Ovis aries: one gene and its partner. The protein of the gene in region 2 purifies or fractionates together with the protein of the main gene of each other region. This does not show direct contact. Links are inferred from orthologs where the notes say so. Each region holds a gene or a part of one and is shown on either strand. Other genes may lie near its edges.

Evidence for each region. The genes of interacting proteins can lie anywhere in the genome.
Region 1: the proteins of LGALS3BP (region 2) and MYCBP2 purify together in Homo sapiens (co-immunoprecipitation; 3 studies listed by BioGRID and IntAct, counting the BioPlex papers as one, with this or other methods). This does not show direct contact. The link is inferred for Ovis aries from reciprocal best matches to the Homo sapiens genes LGALS3BP and MYCBP2.

The regions. Positions count from the first base shown.
Region 1 is NC_056063.1:52,791,244-52,794,890, forward strand, and holds part of MYCBP2 (E3 ubiquitin-protein ligase MYCBP2), read right to left. Parts: intron 2,819-3,647; coding exon 2,658-2,818; intron 1,646-2,657; coding exon 1,489-1,645; intron 1,309-1,488; coding exon 1,084-1,308; intron 1-1,083. UniProt on the Homo sapiens protein: Atypical E3 ubiquitin-protein ligase which specifically mediates ubiquitination of threonine and serine residues on target proteins, instead of ubiquitinating lysine residues.
Region 2 is NC_056064.1:52,754,877-52,758,623, reverse strand, and holds the start of LGALS3BP (galectin-3-binding protein), read right to left. Parts: upstream 2,593-3,747; 5' UTR 2,432-2,592; intron 1-2,431.

The DNA of each region.
Region 1 (3,647 bases), on a different chromosome or scaffold from region 2:
TCTGATTTATTATACCTGACTTTCAAGTAAGACAAAGTTGTACCGACTGAACTCTTGGGTCTGAAGAGGTGATAAGCTAGTGATGTAGTGATAGAGTAGCTAAGCCTTTCTCTTACTCAATCTGTGCTGACGGACAGAAGGTGGGGTGACTGTAGACAGCAGGGAATGCTCTGACTGCAGACTAAACTTCTGTGGTCGGCATTCTCCATTCAGGTCATCTGAGACCCAAACCCACCACTCTGGCTCTCCCAGGGAAAGGAAATATACAAATGGGACAGGAGCAGCTTGGCAATGGCCCAAGGGGACTTATTAACACTGTACCTACAGGCCACTTCCTTTCTGAGGGAAAAAATTCTAGAAAGTATTCTTTCTCAAGAATGGGATAGAAACATGGGAATTTAGCAGTTGGTTTTACAGTCTTATTGGCTTTTAATACTCAAGTAAATAGGATGCTTTTTCTTCTCCAGTGCTTTTTGTTAAAGAGTGCTCAATTCAGTTGAAACATGTAGACAGGCTAGAGCTAGGGGGAATATATAGTCTGATTATATATGTTAATACAGGAATTTTCCCCAACTCCCTTCTGATGGTGCGGGTAAGGATTAAAAACTGAAGGCGAATTATGCTATAGGTCAAACTGCATTAAATGCCACTAGAGTAAGGTAAAAAAGAATCCAGAGGAGAGAAAGAGTAACTTTTATAGAAGAGGTACTGTGGGAGAATTTGTCTGCTGGGTCTTATACTTGGGAAGAATCTGAAAGGTAGAGTTTAAGAGAAGGACTTCCAGGCCAAGGAAATAACTTGAACAAGGGCATGGAGGTAAAATATCATGGAGTAGATATTTATTTTGCCTAGCTATAGATTTCATATATTTATAATCAGAGCCTTTCTTAAAATGGGTATTCCACAGTGCCCCAAGTCATATTAATCTGTTTTTAGACTTGAGTTATTTTGAAAATATAAATAGGTTGTTTGGTTGGTGAAGTTCCAGATGAAAGCCTTTTTGCTAAAACTCAGAAATGAGACTGTATCATTAATAAAGGTCTGACAAGAACTAACAAGCCACAGGTAAGTTTCCTTTCTTACCCCAAGATCTCGGGAATTGTCCACATGAATAGATACATAGCGGGCATTGATGCCTTTTACACAGTTGATGGTGATGTTCTTTGTTTTGTTTTTATCCTCATCGCCTGACTCCCAAAAGGTTTCTGTGGAACCATCCGTCAAACTGCCAATCATGGCAGGTCGGCTTGAAGTTTTTATGTCAACAATGCTGGTTAAGTCCTTTAAGCACATTACTATGCACAATTCCTACCAGAAACAAATAGACATAATTGAAACACTCAGATGGAAATCTTCCACAACAGTAAAACAGACATGAGATAGAAATAAAAGTAAGTATCAAGTTGTTTAGGAGTAATTTTCAGTTTCTCCTTCAGTACATTGTTGAGTATTAACAGGATAACACAGGATAACTGTTAGATGACTGACCTGACTCATAGCTTCAAAGCCAGACTGTATGCTGATGCTAAAACTCTCTTCACTGTCTCCATCATCTGATTTTGACAAAATATTGTTAATGTGATGAAAGACATTGCTCTGATGGAGGAACTGGTGATCAGACTGCTTGAATTTCAGACTCCAGCACCTAAAAAGGTGTAAGTAATATAGTAAATAATTCTTTTTCAGGAACCTCTAAGGAATTCCTTAAAAAAAAAAAAAAAAAAAAAAAGCACTCTGCAGCTAATCTTAATGCTGTAGGTAAAATAACAATATTAGAAATTTTTAAAATTCAAGAAACAAAATGATTTCTATTGTCTTTTGGAGAAATATACGTCATTTCTGTTGAACAATGTAAATTCTAAGGAAAGTTCATCCATTTTAAATACAGCCAAACTGACACATGAAGATCAAAGCTATAAAAGCAAAAAAGGTAATCAGTTTTGTAGACAAGTGTTATCCCAACTATAACAGCCTCTTAAAATTTATTAGTCCAACAATTCTACACTAATTCATCAGAGTATAACACACTTTGTACTTCTAAAATCTTGCACTACAGAATCTCTTCTCTGCTGGTCTCATCATTAGGAATGTGGGTAGACAAAATCACTCTGTCAACCTATTTCTTATAAAAATCAGTGGAGGATTTACTTGTATGTGTAGTCCAGTATGAGGTTCTAGTGATAAAGTTCACAATGTAAAAGTAATGGTGAGGACTTAAAAGGAGGAGATACTCTTCAATGTAGTTTCAGGATTGGCTGCATTTCTCTTGATATTCTTTTCAATTCAAAACCCTATTTTGAATTCAGTTTTTGAGATTTCATTGCCCTCTCCATTTTTGCAACATTTAAGTTTCTACTCTTGAGGAGCACTGAGACATGTGATTTGGGGTAGCAGAGAAAGGAAAGTGAGGAAGATGGTTTCAGACTGTGACAATTTAGAGGACTCAGAAGTATACCATCCACAATTTACAGAGGGGCCAACAGGCATGAGCTGAGGTGAAGGGCAATTCTAAATTATAACTATAATGAGGGAGGTCATTCATATAACACAGGATTCTTTCTACCTTAAGTATTTAAAGAGATCTTTCAAGCATTTCATGCTCTGACTGCTTCAGAAAACTTTTCCAGGGTACTTAGGACACTTGGAAATAAGATTACCTCAGGGCCATCTGCTGTAATGAACTGCCACTGGGGAGAGACATCATAAGATCGGAGATGGTCTGAAGTAGGCGGTGAAACGTGTGTGGTAAAGGATGAGCAGCTTCCCCTGCAATCACTATATCTGAGAGCGGATGCTCACATACCCTCGTATCTTTCTCCTAAGACAGAAATGGCAGGCAAGTTCATCAGTTTGGGAGCTGGAAGGAATTTTTCCCACAAAAGAAAATGTGTACTTTAACGATACTGATGTAGTAGAAATGTAAACAACAAAACCAAACCATACCTCAAACATCCAGTAAGATTAGTTATGCTTACATTTTTAAAGGAAAAAATGATAAGGTCACCTATAAATAAAATCACCAAACCAAATAAATGCCACATATGAGGATCAATTCCTGTGTACTCACTAATCTACTAGCAGAAATGAGCCTTTCCCCTCAGCTGAGCACCACCCAAACTGCTAGCCCACAAAGTTGGGAGCCAGTAAGCAACTGTTTCCATTCAGTAGGTTTTGGGGTATCTGTTACACAGGAACAGACAGCTCTTACGAATGTGTGATAACGTCACATTGTAATTGTGGATTGTTTTCAATTTTCCCTTGCAGCCCTATTGATTTTCATTTGATATCTTTGAGGTTATTTTATTAACTACATGCATACACTGAAGATACAGAATTACTCTTTTTATCATTTTGTAGAGAGCCTCCTTATCCCTATTGATAATTATATCCTGAAGTCTGTTTTATCTGATGTTGAACTAGCTGTAGCAACCCAATTCTGATTGGTATTTATCCAGTATATCTTTTTCTACTTTTAACCTTTTACTTTTAATCTTCCTCTGTCGTAATGTTTTAAAAGGTACAATGCTTATAAACAGTACCGAGCTTTTGTTTTTTTCTATCTATTCTGACAGCTTTTTTAAATTGAGGATTTAGTCTTCTACTTTTTTACTGTAGAAATATAAATGAGATCCATAAATCACAGCTAC
Region 2 (3,747 bases):
GGGGGGCCTGGGGGAGCCTGCTGAGGGTGGCTGAGAGATGGCAGGGATGGCTCAGATGGCAGGCCAGCCTGCGAGAGTACCCTGAGGTCTGCAGCTGCCAAAGAACATTGCGTGAAATGGACCATGTGGAACCTGGAAGGGAGGGGGACGAGGGTGGGTAGGGTTGGGAGGGAGGGGGACGAGGGTGGGTAGGGCTGGGAGGGAGGGGGACGAGGGTGGGTAGGGCTGGAAGGGAGGGGGACGAGGGTGGGTAGGGTGGGGAGGGAGGGGACGAGGGTGGGTAGGGTGGGGAGGGAGGGGACGAGGGTGGGTAGGGTTGGAAGGGAGGGGACGACGGTGGGTAGGGCTGGAAGGGAGGGGGACGAGGGTGGGTAGGGCTGGGAGGGAGGGGGACGAGGGTGGGTAGGGCTGGGAGGGAGGGGACGAGGGTGGGTAGGGTTGGAAGGGAGGGGGACGAGGGTGGGCAGGGTGGGGAGGGAGGGGGACGAGGGTGGGCAGGGTGGGGAGGGAGGGGGACGAGGGTGGGCAGGGTGGGGAGGGAGGGGGACGAGGGTGGGTAGGGTTGGGAGGGAGGGGGACGAGGGTGGGTAGGGCTGGGAGGGAGGGGGACGAGGGTGGGTAGGGCTGGGAGGGAGGGGGACGAGGGTGGGTAGGGCTGGGAGGGAGGGGGACGAGGGTGGGTAGGGCTGGGAGGGAGGGGGACGAGGGTGGGTAGGGTTGGGAGGGAGGGGGACGAGGGTGGGTAGGGTGGGGAGACGTGTCAGGAGGAGGCCACAGAAACCCGCGAAGGGGTGACAATGGACGGAGAGCAGTGGAGAGACTGGGCTGGGGGTGGGCGCTGGGCGGGCCGGGGAGAGGGCTGAGGGCTAAGAGCCAGGCCTCTGCCTGGGCAGCTGGGTGGGGCTGGGGGGAGACTGGGGGAGGGGAACGAGATGAGAGGACACTCCTGGCCTGGCACTGCCACGAGGTCAGTGTCCCCAAGAAACAGAGGCTGGAGGAGGTGGGGGACCACCAAGGCCACACAGCCAGCCCCGGGGAAGGGGAGCAGGGGGGACCCAAGTCTCTCCGCTTTTGCCGGGGGTCTTGCCTCTGTAACTCTCACAGCTCCCTTTTTCTCTTCGCCCACATCCTGCCCCTCACCTGCCTCCCTCCCTTCATGTCCGCATACCAGCACAGTGAGGTGGGAAGAGGGGCATGGAGGGGGTGCAGAGAGCCCTGCTGCTCTGGCCCAGAGAGGGCCTTGCGACACCCACGCCCCGCCTCAGGGCCCAGCCAGCAGGGCTGTGGCTGCTGTTGTTGCACCCCTCGAGTCAGGGCCTGGTAACCAGACCCTCCGGGGGCTCCCAGGCACGAGGGTCTGCCGACACTGAACACAGTCCCTGGACCAGACTGCTCACACCACTGGCTCATGGAATCCTGACCACGACCTTGAGAAAGACCTTGTTGATCCCACCTTCAAGTGAGGGGGCTAAAGCCCGGAAGGGTAGCCAGCTCTGCTCACACAGCTGGGGAGCTGTGGGTGGTGAGTGGCCATGGGGGAATCTGCCCAGCAGCCACCCTCTCTTCATTACACTGATGGCCGAGTGGCCAGGATGACCAACCACCCAGCACACCAACTGTCCTGGTTTTCGCACTGGAAGTCCCATGTCCTTGGACATACCCTTGGTCCTAGGCACATGGGGACAGCTGGTCACCCTCTGCACTCTCCAGAGAGTGGCGGCCACCAGCTTTGCTCACCCTGAGACACGAACCCAGGGTCCCAGGCAGATGGCCAATCAGGCACTTGGCTCATGGTATGCAAATGTCACTGCCCCTCCGGCTGGCTCTGGCCACCCATTTTTGCCTGACTCATTGGAGAGATGGGGCAGAATTGTCTGCCTGGGGCCATTCCACACTCTTGCGCAAATTGGGGAAAGGTGCAGCCTGAGCTGAAATGGCAACCCACTCCAGTACTCTTGCCTGGAAAATCCCATGGATGGAGGAGCCTGATAGGCTGCAGTCCATGGGGTCGCTAGGAGTCAGACATGACTGAGTGACTTCACTTTCACTTTTCACTTTCATGCATTGGAGAAGGAAATGGTAACCCACTCCAGTGTTCTTGCCTGGAGAATCCCAGGGACAGGGGAGCCTGGTGGGCTGCCGTCTGTGGGGTCGCACAGAGTTGGACACGACTGAAGCTGCTTATCAGCAGCAGCAGCAGCAACAGCCTGAGCTGAAAAGCACTGATCGGAGAGAGCGCCTCGGCTGAACTGCTTGCCCCTTTGGGTGGTCTCCTTGTGCACCAGTGAACAACCTGCCCAAATGGACAGAGAGACACAGGAGCAGCAGTGATGGTCCCTAGTTTCAGGAGGAGCATCAGATCCCTAACTGAGCACAGGCAGGGAGACTTGGCCACTGTAAGATTATACTGTATAAAGAGAGGGACACCCACCTGAGAGCAAGAGGTTACCAGCTTACCTGCCTGGGGCACCTGCAGATGGCTGTCCTAAGGCCTCCCACTTGCAAAGGAACGTCCAGCCCAAAAAAACCCTCCCAGTACAGAGTGTGTCAGGTTGGTCCCAGGAAGTGCTTCAGAAAGCTCAGTCTAGTTTCGATTTCGAGAAACCACCTGACCCTGTTTCCTTCTGGGGTTGGCTGCTGCCAAGGCTTCCTGCTCCCCTCCCCGCCCTTGGCTCTGACTGGGGGCGGCTGGGATGGCGGTGGGGAGGATGGCAGCCGCCCAAGGCTGCAGTCTGGCTGATTCTGCTCTGGTTACAGAGCAAGGCAGCGGCGCCAGGGGTGGGTGCTGGGGGAAGGGAGAGGAAGGGCAGCAGGCGTCAGCGGTCAGAAGAGCAGAGGATGGGCGTGGACAGGTTCTGTCTGCATCCAGGGACCCTGGGCTCTTTCACTGCACGCCCATGCCCGTCTCCTGGGTCTCACATGTTGCTGGGGGCAGCGGTAGGGGGGCTGCTCGCTCGGCTCTAAGCACTTGACATGCCTGGCCTGAACATCTCATCCCTCTGGGGCAGGGGCAGAGCCTCTGGGGTGGACTTTGTTCTGCCCCTCCCACACCCACTCCCTTTCCTTCCCTCTGACAGAGAGCCTGCACCTCGATTTCCCCTGGGGAAGCACTCTGGATCTGGCCTGAGTCTGGCAGGTTGGAGACAATGGTGTCAGGGAGGTGTTGTGATCCCAGCCCTCTGAGGGGTCAGTTTTAGACTGCTGGAAGGAGACCCTGTAGGGAGCAGGCGGCCTGGAGGCGCTGATGCCCCTGGTGCCCCCGACTGTGCCCTGAGGAAAGCCCAGCTGAGGATGCAGGTGAGGGCAGAGCTGAGAGAGGGAGGAACCTAGGTCCTGATGCTATGGTTTGAGCACCTGTGTCCCCCTGGCCTGAACTCAAGGCCAAGCCCTGGCTTCAAGGCCAGATGAGGCGTCAACATCCTATTTTGCTTCTGTCTTTTGCATCCCAGGTTCTGGACGAGAGTTATCCCCTAGGAATGTCCCCAGGTCTCTCTAACCTGCTGGCTGTCACCATGGTCGGCTCCTGAGAATCACCCAGGAGTCTCACAAACTCCCAGCGTCCAGATCCACAATCTCTGGGGTGGGGACAGGCGTTGGCCTTAAAGCCTTGCAGGTGGTTCTATGTACAGCCAGGGCTGAGAACCATCAGTAGGGAGACAGAGTTTCCCTGGCAGCTCTTGAGTCCAAGAGAGTGAGCCCTCGGGTCAACCATCCAATGACTATTTGCCCAAAACGTGAGGTTTGAGG